Stegostoma tigrinum: one gene and its partner. The protein of the gene in region 2 purifies or fractionates together with the protein of the main gene of each other region. This does not show direct contact. Links are inferred from orthologs where the notes say so. Each region holds a gene or a part of one and is shown on either strand. Other genes may lie near its edges.

Evidence for each region. The genes of interacting proteins can lie anywhere in the genome.
Region 1: the proteins of bptf (region 2) and smarca1 purify together in Homo sapiens (affinity purification with mass spectrometry; 4 studies listed by BioGRID and IntAct, with this or other methods). This does not show direct contact. The link is inferred for Stegostoma tigrinum from reciprocal best matches to the Homo sapiens genes BPTF and SMARCA1.

Annotation. Positions count from the first base shown.
Region 1 is NC_081368.1:32,748,871-32,759,873, forward strand, and holds the start of smarca1 (probable global transcription activator SNF2L1), read right to left. Parts: upstream 7,745-11,003; 5' UTR 7,564-7,744; coding exon 7,504-7,563; intron 5,380-7,503; coding exon 5,329-5,379; intron 1-5,328.
Region 2 is NC_081375.1:10,334,014-10,345,016, forward strand, and holds the start of bptf (nucleosome-remodeling factor subunit BPTF), read left to right. Parts: upstream 1-6,060; coding exon 6,061-6,547; intron 6,548-11,003. UniProt on the Homo sapiens protein: Regulatory subunit of the ATP-dependent NURF-1 and NURF-5 ISWI chromatin remodeling complexes, which form ordered nucleosome arrays on chromatin and facilitate access to DNA during DNA-templated processes such as DNA replication, transcription, and repair.

The sequences.
Region 1 (11,003 bases), on a different chromosome or scaffold from region 2:
TCCTTTAAAACTAATCAAATATTTTCATTACAAAACAAAGAGGAAAATATACCAACAGCAAGCTACTTTCATCATAAAAGTGAAATTCCAAATACATTTCTTATGAAAGTTAAAACTGCAAGAAAAGCAGGTTTAGAGATAATACTATGGCAAGTAGTTCAGAGACTGGGATTAATTAATTAATTAATAGCTATAACAGTGACAGCTAGAAATGGTGTGTAGAAGGAGCTCCAAGATTGAACAGTTAATAAGCTCCATCCACAAAGGTGTCCTGGTCTCTGCTTCACCGAATGGCTTCAAATGAGTTTGATACTGGTAGGAAGGAAGGTTGCCTAAAGGAGAAGTTTGGAACTAAGTTCTTTTCGTACAGAAGGTTGTAATTTAAGTTATTTTTGAGAAGAATGGTTGAAACCGTGTGTGTTATGTGTTGAGGGTAATTTCTCATCAACATGCTGTGAACCTACGATCAGTAGAAAAATTAAGTAAATACAGACACAGATTACAACTTCCAAACAAAAAAAGAGTATGAAGCAGGATCAGGTGCATTCTCAGAGTTAGAGGCCAAGAATTGAATATTGAGTAAGGTAATCTATTCACATTTATGGGCTAAATGTATAAAATGTGTGACTTGTTAAATAATGCAAATGTTGTCAAACTTTGATAAATCTGGAAAGTCAGATAATTATGCCATAGTGGAATATACTTGAAATTCTACCCGCTTCAGATAAGGTTATGCTAATGACCTGACATCACTAAAAAGACTTGTAATTCCCTGTAAAATAGCTGGGATTAGCAATTTCATCAGCACAGATGTAATGTAAATGAAACAATTTCACTATTGAACAGATCATCCATGTAAAAGGCCAAAATGAAACTCACATATGAAAGCACGGCAAATGTTTTTGGAAAGTCAACTGATTTACAGTTTGCTCAATTCAGACACAATTGTATTCCTTTATTAGGATCTAACTTCTTGAGTCAAAATATAAAGAAGGTGTCGGTGTCAGTGAATAGGAAGTTCAAGAGAAAAGGGTTAATTAGCTTAGGACTACATCAGCAATTTTCCATCCATTTTCACAAGTTAAAAATCATTCTTAAAAAATGCAGGAGTAAGGGTGGATGAGTTTTGTATATTTGTCAAACAAATTAGCAGTAAGTGTAAAAAAAGTTTACATTAGAAGATACCACCATGAATACCATCGGCGAGAGGCTTTAATGAAGTGGTGGTATGGACTTTAAGGCATATAAGGAAAGGCATATTCATATTGCACTTTGTAGATGTAGCAATTACATTTCTTCAGTTTACAATAACAAATACTAAAAGAACAGTAATAGTGAACAATACATTGGAAATATGATTAAGGAATAGACTGGAGGCATTGGCTCAATTCCTAACTGGCAATGGATGGGTAGTGCGTGGGAGAGGAGTGGAACGAACAGTCCCTTTAGTAAAAGCAAGAATGTGTAGAAATACTCATATAGTAGTCAATTAAATGCTTCATAAAATCTAACAAGACCTTCCAAGTTGAACAGACAGTCCATGTGGAGAACTGTAAATGGTTGGGAGCTATAGTCCACGTCCAATGATTTTTGGGAGAAATCTAAAAATTCTTTCAGTGATGAGTGATCATCTTGGCTTGAGAAGGGAACACTATTAAATGCACTTTTACTGAGCATTTGAATGTCCTGCATACAGGGAGAAGGTTTCGGAGAAAATTTGGGAGTTCCATGGCATTGCATATTGTCATCTAAAAAAAAATTTTAATCCAGGGTCTATTACAAAATAGAAGGGCAGAATGAGATGGAAAGGAATGTCAACAGTATAGGCGATGATGCAAAAACAGCACAGCAAACAAACTAAGATAACAAAGTGTAGAGCTGGATGAACACAGCAGGCCAAGCAGCATCTCAGGAGCACAAAAGCTGACGTTTCGGGCCTAGATCCTTCATCAGAGTTTGGTTAACCGGCAGTGAATACACACATACAGAATCTGAACAAGTCATGGAAAATAATGAGGTATCATGCACTTTGCAGATACATACACAGAATAATTATGCAGATCAGATAATGGCAGAAGATGGGCTAACTAAACAGGGACAAAATGGAGACAGAGATGCAGGGCAAGGCTGTTTGCCCCAATGAACAATGATCAAATGTTGGCCCTAAGATACTATATGTATCTTTGAAATATAAAGATGCCATCACTGTAGGGATAGCAGGGAAGACCACTGACAAATATAAACATTGCTTAAAATGTGCAAGATGAGGAACATATGGCAAGATGCACAACTAGCAAAATGAACAGCTGCAGTACATATTCCAGAAGTGGACTGGGAAGTGAACACAGCCCAAGGAAAAGGTAGCAAATTTGCAAAAGGAATCTTGAACATAGGGGGTGAAGATCAAGGAGTAGTCAAGAATATGACTGGACAGCAAGTACAAAACAGGAATTGCTGGAAAAACTCAACAGGTCTGGCTGCATCTACAGAGAGAAAGCAGAACTAACATTTTGATTCTTGTGACCTTTTTTCTACTTCCTTTCTATACAAACTGCTAGACATGTAGTTCCTCCAGCGATTTCTGATTTTGTTTCTAATTTCCAGCCTTTGTGGTTCTCTGGCTTTTTGTTTAGTGTTTAACTTAGTGATACATCTCTTCCTGGTGTGCCCACCTTGAAATTCTGCTCCTCTCTCCCGCAAGATTTCCATGCTAATCTGTTTCCAAAATCATCGTCATTTATTTTATTGTTTCTCCTGGCGTTTGACAAGGTATTTGCCAAAACTCTCTTCCACAGACACGTCACATTCCTCAGTGACTGCTTCAGGCTTAGAATCACCACACGTGGATTCCAACTCAATTTTCATCCTTCGTGCTTTGAATCCAACCAGGATCACAGGCATCTCCATGATGTACTGTGTTCTTCGGGAAGTTGGTATCGCCACATCCTGAGATCCACACTGATCCATCACCATATGCACAATCTTGAACTCAATCTCCCAACAGCGTCGCCTCACACTGGCTTAGAGCTGTCTTGCGCTCCACACACCACCCCCCCCCACCCCCACCCCCCACTGCCAGTTCCACTTCATCCTCTGACTTATTTGATGTTCTAACAAGGAACTTTATTCTTTTCGTTTTCCTGTCAGGCATTAAGGAACACAAGATGCGACAACCTAAAGATACTCAAGCCCATTCAGAATCTTCCAGCCCCCCTTTCCCTCTCACTCCATCCCCTCTCCTAACCCCACTTCCTATTGCATATTTACTATCCCTTCTGACCTTCGGCTGTCTGATGCTGAATGTTCTGAACTCAGTTTTCTGCCTCTGCTTCCCCACCTTAATGAATTTCGGGCATGACAAGGCATTGAACACTTTTTCTGTTGCCTTCGCTTCTGTGCCTATTTCACTGGACCAAGGGTCCTTTGCCCATCACACAAACCCTTTCACTTACCTCCAACATTGTCCCTCCTACTGGAACTCTTCCTTCTACGCTTTTATTTGCACTTGAGCTGTTCATCAAGAACTGCTGATGTGACATTGGTCACCTCAATTTCTCTGCTGCCCCCTGACCCATTCCAACTTATCTCCCTCTGAACTGACTGCCAGACAACCAGCCTTATCATACAAATGGATAAGCTCCCTGACGTGACATAAGCCAAAGTCAGCCTCAGGGTTCCAGAGAGAAGCGTGGTATTCCGGATGTTGGAGTGAATTCTCTGGCTGCAAAAGAACTCTTAAGGATCTTCTTAGCTCTTTTCATAACGTACTCATGGAAATGTAAGTTAATCAATGCAAAAGGTGTAATTTTGCAAGCTAAAAAGTTTCAAAAGCAATAATTTTTAGAACAACCTAAAGAAGCAGGGTGTAGGAAAGGGAAAATACAGAAACTAATTTAACATTTTTAAGTTGAATGATTCAGCAAAGGTATGTTATTTCAATTCTGAACCCCAAATTTTTACTCTGATTTCTCTCTGCAGATGCTGCCAGGACTGCTGAGAGTTTCCACAATTTTTGTTTTTATGTTTCTGATTTCCAGCATCTGCAGTTTTCCTAGTTTTTTAATGGTATTTCATAGTTAGATCATGTCATCAAAAGTATCATTCAGCTTCATGTAAACCCAGAAATGTTCTACGGGTATTGCCAAGAGAAACTGGCAAGCGTCGTTGTGATGTACACTGATGATTTTCATGAGTTACATGAGCAATATGTGCAGGATAAAATAAAAAGGGAATTTAAGATTTGGAGTCAGACTTCAGGGATCTTCAAATATGTTGGGCAAAATATTAAGCAGAAAAAAATCAGGAGTGACTTTAGATCAACAGCCTTACTTAGAAAGTACTAATCAAATCCTGATAAATTGGGACAGTTCTCATAGAACAGACTTCAGGCTTGAAGTAGATAAACTACCAATGCACCAAAAGCCCCTTTTCATGGATTGTCTGATGTCTTCAAAAGTTTTAGATTAGGAGAGTAATCTGTAAACATAGCAAGTAGTGAAGTAAGCAATTTGGGTTAATTTATTAATTAATTTAGTGGATAGATATGAAGTGGAAGCAATAGGGCTTTTCTGGTGCACAGGTATTGTCTATAGCTCTGGGCTGGAGTTTCCAGTTCCATCTGCTCCAGATACGTATCATCGTATGTACGAATGGGTTAATGAAAAATGTGTACAGTGCGGAAGTAGGTGGGAAGTGTGTGCTGTAATATGAGTAGTTAATAAAATCTATCTACAATGAGAGACTTACAATGTAATGGTAGTTACCCTACGTCTGGGCAAGAAGGTCCAGGTTCAAGTCCCATTTCAGGATGTAATGAAAAAGGTCACAACACATGTAAAATATTTACAGAGACATGATTTGGACTAATAATGAAATGCAATTGCATCAAAATAAGTTAGTCATCACTCAATAGCAAGATTCTGAAGTCAAAGTTTAAAGTTTAAGGGGTAAATCAATCATTCTTTTCTCGAAATCGAGGTTCTCACTTTTTCATTCTCACTACGCTTTCTGGCCATTAGCTGCACCACTCCAGGGAAGGGGTAATTCCATGACTGTTTCATTTTTCATACAGCCAATGAGCTTTGAAAACAACTTTAAAATATTGGGAAAATTAGGAAAACAGGAAATCAAAAATAACTTCATAACAAGTTATTCAACAACAAAAATTTGGCTGCAAGAAGATGCACCTGAAATTTGAACGAAACTACTTCTGAAAGTTTTATGTAGAACAAGCTTGGAAGACCACAGATGTGTCAAAAGTTAAAGAATAAATGTCATGCACCTTGTACATTCTAGATTGCACAGCCCAATGTGATATTATTCACATACCTGCACGTTTGAAGGTTCTTGTTTAACTTCAGGGCCAGCCTGTTCACACAGCTGAGGAAAAACATTAGTGGCGCATTACTTCAATCATTTTGCACAGCAGCTATAAACTTAACTTCTGTGTAGCAAACTATGTTTTACAGATGTGTATTATATCCATTCATAACCATTTATTGTGAGTTTGTGCTTTTGTGTTTTGAGTTAGTAACCAGTAGGTTTTCTGTGTGTCTGAAGTTAATCATTAACTTGCAAGTATTTCAGTAGCCAAGGTAATTTCTCATAAACAGATTTCGGGCCTGGCTTGAGAGCAATTGGGTTTTTGCGCACCACAAATGGATTTTGTACTTATTCATTTTAGATTGGTTTATACACAGCAAGGTAAATAATAGGGTCTCAAGTTTTATTACTGACTTCTGGAACTTGTTTCTTTTAATGTTTAGTCGAAACATCCACAGCTTTGAGAGGGAGGCTGTCATCTTCCGTTTTCCTTTGAGTTGGGCAGTCCTAAGAAGCCCTTGGCCAGCGATGGCTGTATAGACTTAGTGAACCAAGGAAGAGGAAATATGATGTACTAAATTACCTTAGAGTGAAGAATATTAATCCCAGGCTGGAAGGGATGATATAAAACCCTAAAGGCATTATTTAAAACTGTTTCTACTTAAACACAGATTAAGGGGTTTGGTGGAGCAGGGAGTTGAGGTGAGGAAGGAGTTATTGGTCTCCCAGTATTTGAAAGGATTGAGAGAGAGAGAGAGATGCTGTTAAGTTGTATTTTAGTATTCAACAGCATTTTAGGACCTTGAAGAGTGGGCAGATATCATGGGAAGCCAATAAAAATACGTAGAGGTGTTTTAAGACATGATACTATTTGCGGTTTCAGGTACAGCAGGGTCTGTGGAGTGTTTGAGTACTACATATTAATTATAACCACTTGGACTGAACTCATGACATACCATTTTTCCCTTGTGATCATACTATGGGGAGGGAAACGACAGAAAATACTATCAGAGATAATGGGAACTGCAGATGCTGGAGATTCCAAGATAATAAAATGTGAGGCTGGATGAACACAGCAGGCCAAGCAGCATCTCAGGAGCACAAAATACTAGTCAGTTCTGTGGTGTTCATTAAAGTCACTTTTTGCAGCCAACTTTTTCCTTGCATGTACTGCAAAGGGAATAAAGATGGTAGCACTGTAGACCTTGAATGCAATTAACAAGTTTTAACTGTCACATTATTAAGGAAATAATTTATAAGTCTCAGTTGAGATATGCTATGCAGCTCATCAAAATGTCCCTCTAGCAGGCTTATTCTGCCTTCACACCACAGCATGTGAGCAACGTGAACATGACCAATATTTTTGTTTTTGCTAACTCGTTTGGTCTAAGTATATGTCCATTATAAAAGGTTAATCACTGCACTTCAAAATTAGGTCTTGCTTTCCCGGAGAGGTGACAAGGTGCTGTGTATTTGCTACCGTTTTGAGTAAGTTTCTCCTGACGTGATCTAGTTCCGCTGTAATATCTTGTTTTATTTGGTGTAATTCCAGTTATTTATGTTTCTGCACCAACTCAATTTACATATGTCAAGCTCTCTCAGCAGCCTTTTTAAGCATTCCCACACTAAAACGGGGGGGGGGGTTCGAAGTCACTGTTGCAAACCACATTCGCTTTCGGTATTCTTTTTTTAAAAATCGTGTTTATTTTCGCCCTCAGTTGAACCAGTGTCCCTCAGTGCACATTGATACACGCAAGTGGCCAGCGCTGACGTACAGAAAGGAGAGCAAAGGCCTGGACTTCCCAGGCTTTATCCTCCTGTACAGCTTACCCTGACTGGCCAGCGCGCAGCACGCAAACTGAGGCCCGAATACGGACTGAGGCTAAAATATTTATTTATATAATATTCTTTTTTAAAAATAAAAAGCACTTCTCCCCGTGCTTCCGGCAGGACAATAAACAGTCACAGTGCAGTCTCGGCACCCTTGTGTGTTACGTGTGTGTGTGTTTGTTTGTTTTATTAAACAGGAGCCCGCAGCACTTGAACAACTGATTGGCAACAGCGTCCCTCAGGGTGAACGGCGGTGTTTTCCCGCCACCGAACGTTGCTACTCCCCCGGCGTTCCATCGCCAATGGATACAAAGTTGGAAACAATGAGCCGGTACTTTGTTACACACTCACCCCAAGCGTGTCCCCCTGGCCAGAGGTACTGGCCGCCTCCTCCTCCTCCTCCTCACTCATCCTGCCGACACACTCTCTCTCTGCTGTCTGCGTTACAAACAACAACAAACCAAAGCAACCCGGTTTAGGCGTTCGCTTGCACTCAGATTCTCCTCATCGCATTGTTATTGCACTGCTATTGAGAAAGCCAAATGAAAACCTACACCCCCCGCCCGTTCTGTCATTTTCTACAAACATCGCGAGACTTCTCACCATTCCGCCAATCGTTCGGCAGATTCTTGTGCCAGTCTGTGATATAGTTCGAATGGGAATAAGTCTTGCCACTCCTTATTTCACACATGTGCACACCATCAGCTACCAAACACAACCTTCCTCTTTTCCTACGAAGATCAGGGGATAGGCTACTCATTTTACATCGTGAAGTTGGACTAATTGCATCCTAGAGAATGTTCAGTCTCCTAGCTGGTGCATGACTGCAACTCGACCTCTCGGGCAGGATTTGATAATTGGTGCATAGATTAGGAGACTTTTTTTTACGTCTTTGGCTGTACTCCTGATGTGGTAATGAAACAAACCTGGGAGAATGCCTCGGTGCAAGCAACGACATTATTCTCATGATTTTCTGGTATAAAGCCAGTTAACACAGGCTGTATAGATTTCCATAGTCACTATACACCGGCAATCTCGAAACTACGATATAAAGGAGACTTCTTTTTGTTTTGAACGGAATATCTGTGTTTTTATTAGTCGTGCCCTTCTGCAGCAAGTGAACAACATGGTCCACAGTAGTACACTAAGTTTTAAAAAATGCCAAAGCCCACATATTTTGATAATGCTTCCCCAATTGCAAAAGCAATTGTCACAACATTGTTACTTGTCATTAAGCTGATAACTAATCGGCCTTTTGACGAGGGGTGTGGGTAAATTAAAATTCCGATATTATTTATTTGAAGAATCGGATACTCAAACAGATTGGGCTAACTTTTGATGTTACTGGAACTAATATACTAAACCATTCTCGCACAATCTGATGACAGGAAGAAACTCAAACACAATCTCTTAAATAGAAATCATGTATTCATCATAATAACAATGCAAAAATATTGGAGATTTTTCCTTATATGTGCATCAACTATAGACCCCCAAAAGAAGTTGCATGTGCAGTTGGAGAGATTTATGACCAACATTTACGTGCAGTATAATTAATATTTGAATCTTAAAGCTAAAAGATTGTAATTCAAGAACCAATCCATAAGGGTACCAACCTGCTTTGGGGTTTCAACTCACTTGAGAGAAGCTTTGAATTCAACAATTTAAATTATCCTGCCTGGATATATTGAAAATAAATGAATTTACATTGGCACCAAATATTGTGGGTCTGATGATATGGATGTTTATGATATCATCAAAATCCACAAGTTATCCACTGCTTTGTAACTGCTTGCTAGGCTTATGGCAGGCTGAGTCCTGCAGTGATAAATGAGTTAGCTTTACACCCACTTAGTACTGATGCAATCAGTATCATTAACTATTACATGAGTTCTACAACACTACTCGGTATATTGTTTTACTCCACAAGTATTTTTGAACATACACTTTGATTATTTTTTCATATTAGTAGTTAATGGGAGATTTTTAGCTCCCTCAAAGGCTCTTTTCTAGTCCTTGCTATTCTACATTGTTTTTATGATTTAAGGTGAAAGTAACAGTGCTAGAAAATTACTTGATTTTAAAAAACGTATTTACTAAGAAATACTGTCGCTGTTTTTTGACAAATGTCAGATTTTAAATTGAAAAACCAGTGACCAAGATATACAGACATAAATTATGATCAGTAGGCTATTCAGCCACTCAGGCCTGCTCACTATTTAATGTAATCATGGCTTATCTGATTGTGGATTCAGTTCTCCTTTACCGCCTACCCATCAAGGCATAGATTTTCTCCACCAATTTTTCAGAATTTATTTTTAATGGGCATGGGAAATATGTAAGTGGGACATTCTACCAGCTTTCTTCACATTGTTTTTACAGACACTTCATTTTCTACCATTTAAGGGTGATGTATAATAAGTCATTCATTGTAAGTCTATGTAATTGAATAAATATATCTGAAATATTTCAATGACAACTTGCTTTTATATACCATCTATAGCATAGACAAAAGTTCCTAAGCACTTCACAGATGTGAAAAAAAGGGCTGATGTTCCAAAGAAAGGCTGTGGCACAGTGGTTAGCACTGCTGTCTCACAGCACCAGGGATCTGGATTTGATTCTTGGGCGATAACAAAGTGTGAAGCGGGATGAACACATTAGGCCAAGCAGCATCTCAGGAGCACAAAAGCTGACGTTTCAGGCCTAGACCCTTCATCTCTGTGTTCATCCAGCTTCACACTTTGCTTTCTTGGATTCTCTAGCATCTGCAGTTCCCATTATCATTGATTCTTGGGCGATTGTCTGTGTGGAGTCTGCACATTCTCCATGTGTCTGTGTGGGTTTCCCCAGGTGCTTTGGTTTCCTCCCATAGTCCAAAGGTGTGCAGATTGCATGGATTGCCTATGCTAAGTTGCCCATAGGGTCTAGGGTGAGAAATGCAGGGAAAGGCTAGGTGGTGGACCTGCGTGGAATGCTCTTCAGAGGGTCAGTGTGGATGTGATGGGCCAAATGGCCAACTTCCACACTTTATCATTGAATTAAGCAGGCTTAAATTAATGCCTTAAAGAGAATGGATGAGGGTATGTAACATAACTGTGTGTAAAAGAAAAGTTTGTGTGATTGTAAGGGTGGAAATGTTTATTAGAATAATAAGATTTCGGTGAAATGAATTTGAAACATTCTGACATCTGGAGCCAAGGAATGCGTATGGTGAGGTTACTGAAAAAGCAGGACTTAACCTGTGATATGTACAGGTAGCAGAGCTTTGGCTCAACTGAAGTTTATGGGGGCTGGAAGCTGGCCAGGAGAATGTCAAGGTAATTGATCTCAGGTGGATGAATGGCTGGTTTTAGCAGGATATGGGCTGAGAAAGGGATAGACATACGCAATATGAAATTTAGTGGTCTTTCTGATCGGGAAGATATGAGGTTGGAACAGTTTAATTTGGTCCTAGTTAGGTTGCTATGTTAGGATAGAATTGCCGTACAAGGTTTATGGCCAGAGCCAAAAGCATGCATATTGATCTTTCCAATGTTCAGTTTCTCCATCAAGTAGTATAACATCATTGACGTAGTGGTGAGGTTGTGTGAAATGTTTGATATTTGTGTAGCAGTGGTACCCATGGCTATGGGTGATGTCACTGAGGGGCAGCTTGTACAGCAAGGATTAAAGAGGTGTCCTTGGTGTTGCCTAGAGGTGACACTTTATTGGTAATTACAAAAATCACTTCCAGGTATCCTCTGGTGACAAGTAAATGGATAAGAATGGAATCAAGAAAGTGCAGTCCCAGGGAATTGGACACCAGTGAAGTGGTGTTGGAGAATGAGTGTTCATCAAATGCATTGAAG
Region 2 (11,003 bases):
ATGTAGGGGGAAGGAATATATCCTGGGAGGACAATTTAGGGAGTTAGTAGGGAGCTAAAAAGCAGGACTACTCAGGATTACTATCTGTGCCATGGGCTAATGAGGCAAGAAACAGAGACAGAGTACAGTTGAACACGTGGCTACAGAGCTGGTGTATGAGGGAGGGCTTTAGATCTATGGATCATTGGTATGTCTTCTGGGCAAGGTGGGGCCTCTACAAGAAGGACAGGTTGCACCTGAACTGGAGCCTTGTTACAGCTCTGCGGGAGGGTTAAACTGGTATAGTGGGAGGATGGGAACATAGGAGATTGAGAGAGTGTGCTGATAGAAGTTTGTAAAATAATAAGGTATATATAGCATTAACAATAGTTGTGTTTTCCCTACGATATGGTATTTCAAGACTAAAGGGAACCTGTCCTCCCTCCCACCTATCCCCTCCTCCCACCTTAAGCTCCACTCCCATCTCTGACCTACTAACCTCATCCCGTCCCCTTGACCTGTCCGTCCTCTCTGGATTGACCTATTTCCTCCCTACCCACCCCACCTACAGTCACCTTTACTGGCTCCATCCCTGTCTCTTTGACCTGTCTGTCTCCTCTTCACCTATGTTCTCCTCTATCCATCTTCTATCTATCTCCCCCTCTCTCCCTATTTATTTCAGAACCCCCTTCCCCTCCCCCATTTCTGAAGAAGGGTCTAGGCCCGAAACATCAGCCTTTCTGCTTCTCTGTAACTGCGTGGCCTGCTGTGTTCATCCAGCTCTACAGTTTGTTATCTCAGATTCTCCAGCATCTGCAGTTCCTACTACCTCTTTAATTTTAATGTTGACCTCTTTCTGCACCTTCTCAGCAGCTGTGACCCTGTATCCTGCACTCTGTTCTCTTGCTTTAATGCACTTGTACAGTACAATCTGACTGTAAAGCACATAAGACAATACTTTTCACTGTACCTCAATACTCATGACAGTAATAAATCAAATCAAACCAAATCAAAATTAGTGAGGGTGCCTGGCTTGTGGCCAGCCAAAATTGAGAACGCTGATTCAGGAAGCCCACAGACACATCAAGAGAATGAATTGGGGATGTGCAGGAATGAGGTTGAGGCATCATAAGAAGTACACAAGCCTCCAAACATCTACCCAGACCTTCAAGCATTACCTGACATGCACATGGCAAAGTCTGCAACTCACACATTGGATTTAGAGGTATCTTAGGACCCAATGAGTGGAAGCAGGTAATCTATGATTCTGAGGGGTTGTCCTTCTACATGAAGGATGTTGATGGAGTGATAGAGTGCAGAAAAAAATTACAAGCATATGTAACTGGAAGGTTGGGGTTATAGTGAGAGACTGAATGGGTCAGGCATTTTCCCTGGAGTGTTGGAAGCAGAGGGTTGACCTTATGAGGGGCATTGAAAGGGTGAATATCCATGGTCTTTGTAATTGGGTGGGGGTATCCAAAACTAGAGGGCACAGGTTTAAGGTGAGAAGGGAAACATTTTCATGCAGAGGGTGATGCGTATATGGAATGAGTTGGTAGAGGAAGTAATGGAAGTGGATACAATTACAACATTTAAAAGACATCTGGATGGGTATATGGATAGGAAGAGTTTAGTGGGATATGGACCAAATGCTGGCAAATTGGATTACATCAGATTGGGTTTGCACAGATGAGTTGCCTGAACAGTCATTTTCTTGCTTTGTGACTCCATGACTCTATTTTTGTCTGAGAGAAGGATAGAGCTAGGGAGAAATGGAAGATTACAACATTGATTTCCAATGTCAGGTGGGACAAGAATGCCAATTCCTAAATGAGTTGGGTTAGGGAATGGCGGGGGGAAGGGGAGGTGGTGTGTACACCAAAGACTTAATTTACTGATTGGCGGTCCTGTTTATACAAATCTGTTATAAGAATATGGGAAACAGGAGCAGGAGTTGGCCATATGGCCTTTCAAGTCTGCTCTGTCAATGAATTGTTGAACTTCTACCTGACTTCATTTCCTTTCTTATCCGCTACATATTTACCCCAATTGTGATACATAATAGTTTTGCTAAAACAAAATTATTGTGGTAACCAAGTGCCCAATTTTAATGATGAAACAAATGGATAAAGACATCATAATTCGTATCATATCATATCATGATCCATATCTGAAGAAGGGTGCCAACCCGAAACGTCAAACTTTCCTGCTCCTCTGATGCTGCTTGGCCTGCTGTGTTCATCCAGCTTCACACTGTGTTATCTCAGATTCTCCAGCATCAGCAGTTCCTACTATCTCTGTAATGATTCATATCATAGTTGAAGACAATATATTGCGAAATGCAGGTCTCCTTAATTTATAGGGGTAAAGTAAATTGCATACTATACTTTGTATTTTTTATTAAATCCACAGATCATACGTTGTCATGTTGGGTTTATAAAGTAGGAGACTGGGCTATCTCAGAGTCTATCCATTTGCCTTCTTAATTACAGAAAGGTGATTTTTCTTCTTTGTTAATTCTATTGCATGCTTACTTACGTGGGGGTGTGACAAGAGTTGGTAGCAACGAACGGTGATAGTTGATCGTTAGGCACTAATAGGTCCAGTAAACTTCCAGTTCAGGGGTCGTAGGAACTGCCGATGCTGGAGAATCTGAGACAACAATGTGTAGAGCTGGATGTAGAGCTGCTGTGTTCATCCAGCTCTACACCTTATTGTCTCCAACTTCCAGTTTAATTCGTTACTGCCTTATTACGTTGACGCCTATGGTCCTTGTTTGGGAGAGTTCCAAAGATAGCGGTGACTCCAAAATACCTCTTTATACGTGTGAGTCTAAACAGAGTATCAGCGAACTATATACTCACAGACAGATGAGGCTGAACTTGACATTCATATTTGCAGGCAGCTGTGAGACTTTGATCAGGATCTTAACGTCTTTACTTCAAAAAAGTAAGATTTTGGGTTGAAGCAAAAATATAAAATGCTGGAAATATTCAGCAATTGAGCCTGTAAGCGAGAAGAGACTAGCAGAATTAATATTTAATGTTGATAACCTTTTGTCCACTCGTAGCTCAGCTAGCTCCTTGAAGGCTCCGCGGATTTCTAGCTGGGGAGGGAAGGGATCAGAAGGAAGCCTGTTCTCTAAAGGGTTGCAAGATAAGGACTGAATTGTGCCGAGCGATGAAAACAAAAGAACAGGGGAGAACTCTGCGCTGAAGCGCTTTGGCTTTGCGGAATTTCTTGCTTTGTTTGTTTCACTGTAAGGGTCTCTTTCATTGGTTGTCATTGGAAGACTGGGTGTTATGAGAGTGCTAATTGGCCATGGTTTGCTGCCGCCAAGCTCCAATTGCCCCGTGTCCCTCTCCCCCAAATCTATTGACTGTCACCCACTTGGTGGGGGGTTAAACCTGGGCTCCGTCAGGGTGCATTTCACTTCGGGCTCAAATTTTGCAACCGTTCGGCGGAAATGCTGCGCTTTCCTGCCCTGTCCTATCCGGCTGGAGATTAAAAAGAGCAACCAATCGTGAAAAGCAAACATTCTCTCGCGTTTGTTGCGGAAAGCACAAGTTTCCGTTCGTTTTGCACGGAGGGATTTGATGCAAAGTTTTTCCTTTCACCTCACAATCGTTGTTCCATAATCCAGCCCCGCGCGTTATTTGCAAATACAAAATCTCAAACATTCAGAAAAAATTTACAACGTTATTGCATTGCGCGAAAAACAATTTTCTTTTGCATTTTACTCGTTCATACGTAATATAAGCAACAGCGTTGTCATGATCATAGAGTCTACAGCACAGAACAAGGCTATTCGACACATCTTGTCTGTTTTCGTCAAAAAGAAACACCTAACTATTCTAATAGATTTTTTCAGCTCATGCCTTGCCATCGCAGATGCACATCTAAAGCTTTCTTAAATGTTAAGAGTTTCTGCCTCTGCCACACTGATGGGCATTGAGCTCTACATTCCCTCAGTTCTCTGTGTGAAAAAGATTTTCCTCACATCTCTAACTCTTCGACTCCTTAGCTCAGATCTATGCCCCTTGTTCATTGATCCCTTCATTGAGGGGAGAGGTCTCTTCCTGAATACTCTTATGTCCCTCATAATGTTATAATTCTCAGTCAGGTCTCCTCATTCTCCTTGTTTATGTTTTATTGAATCTTGTTAGGTATATTGATATACATATATATGACTGTATTTTGGGTATTTACAAGGCTTTGTTAAATACACAACTTTACCATTTTTATTTTGCATTTAAATCGTTTGTGTTAAATGGTATAAGACTACATTGTTTTTACTTGCATTTTGCAAGGCTTTGTTAAACATTAGATTTCACAAATTTTTGCACATATATATAAATTTGCAGGTATCCATTTGTAAAACTTCTTTGTAAGTTCATTTCACTAGTTAAATATAAAACATTGCATTAATAAAAAGCAGAAAATGCTGAATATATTCAGCAGGTTTGGCAGCATCTGTGGAGAGTAAATCTGAGTTAATATTCAAGTTGAATCTAACTACCAGAATCCACAGTATTTTGCTTTTATAATAGGTTTTCTTCCTTCACTTCTCACAAATCTGTTAGATATATAGCACATAAGCACTGCAGTATTTTTCTTTTGCTTAAAAGTCCCTTACCGATATAAAACATTATTGTTCTATTTTATGAGCTTTTATGAAATTTTTATGAAATTGCTGGAAAAGCTCAGCAGGCCTGGCAGCATCTGTGGAGAGAAATCAAAATGCAAGTTTTCAGTCGACTCGTCTGAGTTTTTCCAGCAATTCCAGCAACAGGTCAGACGAGTCGACTGAAAACTTGAATTTTGATTTCTCTCTGCAGATGCTGCCAGGCCTGCTGAGCTTTTCCAGCAAATTCCATTTTAGTTTCTGATTTACAGCATCTTAAGTTTTTTTCCCTTTTTTACTTAGTTTATATATATTTTTCTTTCAACTTTTACAAATTGATGTTAGATCAATTGTTGGATTTGTTTTTATGAGTTTTTGCTTATGTATGTTTTCTTTTACATTCTATAAGTTTGTTATATATACGAACAGAAGTAGGTATCTAAATGTTCCACCACTCATTTACAGGTTGTGGTTGATCATTTAACTCCACAACCTTTTACTCCATGGTACAGTTTGGAGTCAAAATCCACAAAAGACCATAGCCATATCTATGCAATGGGGAGAATTAGCTTGGGGGTAACCACCAGAAAGTGCAGAATGAGAAACCAAGTCTCCATGATCTCCATCCAGTGTTGGGATTGAACCTCTACTGGTTTATTCTGCACCACATTTTAATGTACAAAATGTTGCATTTCTATCTTGTTTTACGTCTTGCTGGTAGATTTTTCTTTCATAATTTACAACTGTGTAAGATTTGCAATGTATAAAACATTGCAGTTTTTCTTCTGTTGCATTTTCCCACTGTTTGCTTATATTTAGTATCGCATTCAACAAATTTCTGTTAGATACATCACAACAGAAGCATTGCACTTTTTTGTGTGATGAGCCGTTGTGTTTTTTTTGCTTATAAATATATATAGGCTTTGGCATTTTACAAATTGATGTTCGCAGTAAAAAAAATTGCTGGCTGTGTTTTGATAGCTTGGGTGTGGGATTGTGACAGGGCCGGAGTTCCGGGGTTGCTGCTCATGCCAGGTCCCGGGAGGCGGCGCGCGCGAGGTGCTGGTGGCGGTGAAAGAAGGGGGGGGGATCACGTGACCAGTTGACTGGTTGACAAAAATGGCGGCGATCCCCGAATACAACATGGATGCCGGAAGGTTGGAGTGAAGCAGGGGGCGACGGACGAGAAGGAGGAGGAGGGGGAACAGAGAGAGGGGGTAAAAAAGGGAAAACAAAATAACAATAAACACATCGAGGCTCGGCGCCTCCCGCCCGGCATCTGCGGAAAAGGGAGGCGGGAAAGAGAGTCTCTGAAAATAATAATAATAATAAATCCAAATCTTTCTTCGCCCCTTTGGGGTGGGAGGGTTGAGGTGGTTTTGAGGGGAAGGTGAAGGAGGCAAAGGGGGGGTTAAAATAAAGTGAGGCGGAGCTGGAGGGGGTGGGGGGGGGTCACCATGAGAGGAAGGCGAGGTAGGCCGCCCAAGACGCTCGATGCTTCGCCGGCGGGAGGTGGCGGGGGACCGGCCGGCAGCCTGAGGTACCGGGCTACCGGGGTCGGCAGAGGCAGAGGGGCAGACCGGAGGCTGAATCACGCCGAAGCTGGCGGTAGAGGGAGCCGGACCTCGAGAGGCGGCAAGGCGGGGAACCGGGGCAGGGCCAAGGCCGCGGCTCAGCAGCAACGGCAGGGCAGCCGCTCCCGCAGGCTGACCGTCAACAAAGTCATCTACGACGACCACGAGAGTGAGGAGGAAGATGAGAGTCTGGTGTCCGAGGAAGAAGACGACGACGACGAGGACGAGCGGGAGAACGACGACGAGGACGAGCAAGATTCGGATTATCACCAGGCCACCGAGGAGGAGGAAGAGGACGACGAGGACGACGATGCTAGTTATTGCACGGAGAGCAGCTTCAGGAGTCACAGCACTTATAGCAGTACTCCAGGTAATGTTTCCAACATCACCAGAATCCCGTCCCTTTTTATGTTGAAGAATGTATTGTTCGATGACACCTATATGACATGTTTGGTTGGACTGTTTGGAGATCCCACTTTGTCAGATAATTACATACGCAATATTCATCAAACTCTTTCTGCATCCGTGCATGCAACAGTTGCCATGAAATGAAATTTGCGAAATGCGACTTAAGTGTTAGGAAACGTAATCTGACCTAAACTGTCATTATGATCCAGAGTTGCATTAGTTTAATCGTGCGGAGTAAGTAGTTTGTTGCAGTGATGCTGAATGGTTGGGATGTGTCTAAACTGTACACAAACTGTTGCTCATCCTGCTAATGAGTTGACTGTGGGCTTGGGGAAGAACCTCTGTGACAACTCGGCAGTCCAATTGCTTTTGACATCAGGGAAACAGTTTTAAATCTGGTGCTATTTTTCAATCTTAAAATAATTCTGTTTTATTTGGTCAGTTATTCTAATATGAGAAAAACAAGAAAAGAATGAAAATGTAAAACTGGGAATTTGAAACAAAATAATTGGAAACTCCAACAATAACTCAGTCTTAGTACTAAATTATTTTGTTTTACCTGGCGAAAAACAGAAAAGTTTCAAGTCAAGATCCAATCATCAGGACAGTTTAATAGTTCTTATGAAATAAGAAAACACAGGCATTCTCTGGTTTATATTAGATTTCATAATTTTTAACAACTGTGATTTTAAAATTGTTGGAGGATTTAAAAAGTCCTGTGCTTTGGAAAATAATAGAGTATACTAAATATTTATCACTCTCTTATCAGAATTAGATGTTCACATTGTCTGTAAATTTGAAGATGAGTTTATTTTCAAATATTAAACATTATACTTATTAACAATCCTGCCAAGCTTTAATTTCCTTGCCATTTGGAAAGGTTAAACTGTCTTTGATTCTTAATCTTGTATTGTCAGTAATGTGAAAGATGAGCAAGGATGTAGGCTCTCCCTGAGAATCAAATTGACACTAGTTGTCATTTTAGCTTTTAAACTTATGACATGCCTCCATCACATTGAGAGATAGGAATTGGACCTTGATCTTCTGACCCAACCATAATTTTAGTTGATGTAGCTATGTACCACAATTCCTCATGAAAATAGTGGTTGATTAATTTTGATGTGCCCAATACCTTTAGTAGAACGCTGCATATTTAGATTATGAATATTCCTCCTGTTCTGCATGCCAGTACCTCTTTTGGGTTTTAGTTCTTGCCAGTGGTGGTCATAGCGGTTTCAATTCTTTTGACCTCCTTCCATGCTTTGTGTGCTTGCACGTGATGTACAATATTCTGGTTGTATTTAATCCCAGGCTAACTTTCCTCTCCTTCAGCAGGGCAGTTTGAAAAATTGAGCACTCTACCTCTGGAGTATTTCCTGACTGTTTATGCTGAAACCCACGTCCCTGTTGTTATCACCCCAAGAATATTTGTTTCATGTTCCCAACCCTGGCATATCTGCTTCACAGACAGTAGCCTATTAAGAACTCAACCTAGGACCTCTCCAGTAGTATTCTACATATCCGTTGCCAGTTTCCTGGAACGTGTAATTTCGGCATCCACCACATTAAAACAGTTAAGTACATTTGAGGTTAAATCTCATCTACATGGTAAGCAACCCTCTCCAGTTAAGTCTCCATTGTGGCCCATGGATCTTCAATATTTCATTACTTTGTCCATGAGCTTTCTGTCACACCTCTACCAGCCATTACTTTAATCACAATGGTCCAGATCTTTGGAACTCATTTGGAAATATTGTTACACTTTTACCTTCCTTCAAAAACCGATGTTATTTTCTCCTTCCAACCTACTCTGTCTATGTCTTTACCTCTACCACCCGTATCACAATGCACAGACTTCTTGATTCTGTGGCATCATTTGTAAAATACATAATTTTTCTGAGTGGAATTTGAAATGAAAATACAGCCATTAGGGTAATGATAATTTGCTTTATAACAAGCAAAAAGGTTGCTCTAAATTTCTTTAAAGTGCCATGCACCAAATCACTCCAAATCAAAATTTTGTTTATGTGTATTTGTGGTAAGTACTGATCAATTAATGTTGTTCCTCTTATTTTGTATCTGTTTATAGATGTTTTGACAAATATTTTGGTTCATGAAGTAGGTCGAGACTATCCCTCTAATAATGATATTTGCAAGTGAAATGTCAAACACTTAGTGAATTAAATGCTCAATGTTGCATTCTTCAGTGGACTTAAAACAGAAATGCAGTCTGAATGGGCAACCAGTTTATTAACGCATTCTTTTCTGAAAAGTCATGGAAACAGGAGTTGGCCATTCAGTTAGATTATTTCTGATCTGTGATTTGGTTCTGCGTCTTTATCATGCTATATCTGAACCACATGCTCGTAAGCTAACTGCTCATCATTTGACCTGACAATGGTGTATGCTCATAATGTCTTATAAAAATTGGATTTTAGTACAGTTGAAAGTGGAAAATATATAGTGCAGCTCAGCAGGAGGCCATTTGGCCTAATCACTCTGCTTCTTTTGGAGATTAATCTGGTTGGGTCCCCTGTTTCACTCTGTCTAATTTTCTGTCTTCTTCCCCACCCAAAACACAGTCTTTCACTATTTCTGTGCAATTTTTTTGTCTCCATGAAATCTTCGTCAATTACTGTTAGTAGGCCATTGTTTATTCTGTATCCACTACCCAGTGAGGTATCTCCAGTCTGTTCATGTAACTAATCCCTCATCCCTGAAGCTATTCTAGTAAATTGCTCTGTACCCTCTCCAAAGCTTTCATGTTCTCTCTCATGTATGGAGTCCGGATTTCTGTGTAATGCTCCAGCTGGGGCTGAGGTAGTCTTTTTCATATGTTCAACATAACCTCTTTTCTAATCTGTCTTGAATTAAAAAGAAAACAATTTCTTATGCTTTATTAACAACGTCGTTCATCTGTCTTGTAACTTTCTAAAAATTTGTACCCAATGTAATGGACTTTAGTAATGCCTTTGACAAGATCCTGCACAGCAGGCTACTCATGAAGGGTGAGGTTGCATGAAATCCAGGGAGAGCTAGCTAATTTAGTTCAACATTGGTTGAATGGTAGAAAGCAGAGAGTGATGGTTGAAGGTTGTTTCTTGGACAAGAGGGGCCTGTGACTAGTGGTGTACTACAGGTCGATGCTGGGAACTTTGTTATTTCCAAAAATGACCTTGATATGAATGTGCACGGCATGGTTAGTAAGTTTGCAGATTATACAAAATTAGGAGGCATCATTGATAGTATTGATATCAAAAATTACAGAGGGATCTTGATCAGATGGAGAAGTGGGCTGAGGATTGGTGCATGTAGTTCAATACAGATAAGTATGTGGTGTTGTACTTTGGAAGGGTAGGACTTAGACAGTAAATGGTAAGATCCTGAGGAGTGTTGTAGAATAGAGGGACCTAGGAGTACAAGTACATAGATTGTTGAAAGCAACACCATAGGTGGACAGGCTGGTGAAGAAGGCATTTAGCATGCTGGCTTTTGTCAGTTGAGGCAATGAGTATTGGAGTTGGGACATAATCTTACATTTGTGTAAGTCATTGGTGAGGCTGCACTTGGATACTGTGTATAGTTTTGGTTACCCTGTTATAGGAAAGACATAATTTACCTGGTCAGTGTGCAATGAAGATTTATGAGGATGTTGCCAGGACTAGTAGGCCTGAGTTATAGGGAGAGGTTCGCCAGGATAGGACTTTATTCCTTGGAATGTTGGAGAGTGAGGGGTGACCTTTATTGAGGTGTATAAAAGCATAAGGGGCATAGATAGGATGAATGCATATAGCCTTTTTCAGAGGAATGGGGAATTGAAAACTGGAGGGCATAAGTTTAAAGATTTAAGAATATTTAAGAAGGATCTGAGGGGTAGCTTCTTCATGCAGAGAGTGGTGCGTATGTGGAATGGACTGTCAGAGAAAGTGGTTGAGGCAGGTATAATAGCAACATCTAAAAAAAATCTGGATAGGTATATGGATGGGCAGGGTTTAGAGGGATATGGACCAAATGCGGGCAATTAGAGCTAGCTGATCGGGCACCATGGTCAGCATTGAGCGGTTTGGGCCCAAGGGCCTGTTTTCATGCTGTAATGCTGTATAACTGAATGACACTAGTGCTTTCACTGTAAGTAGTAGTTGCGTTTCAACAACTCAGGACATTGTAGGGGTCTTTAGTAGTGTATCCACAAGTGTCAATACATTCTATCATCTCGTTTCGGTTTGGTTGCACTGCACTTGAGTCACACTTCAATGATTCAATTTAAAATAGCATCCCACGATCAGTTAAGCAAAGTATTTAACAATATTGGATCTGGATTTTCAGCCTTCCCTCAAAAAACACTTTCACATATTTCTTCAGCTAACTCCTCCTTCTCATAGCATGCTGCTTTTAAGTTCATAGCTATTAATTCAACT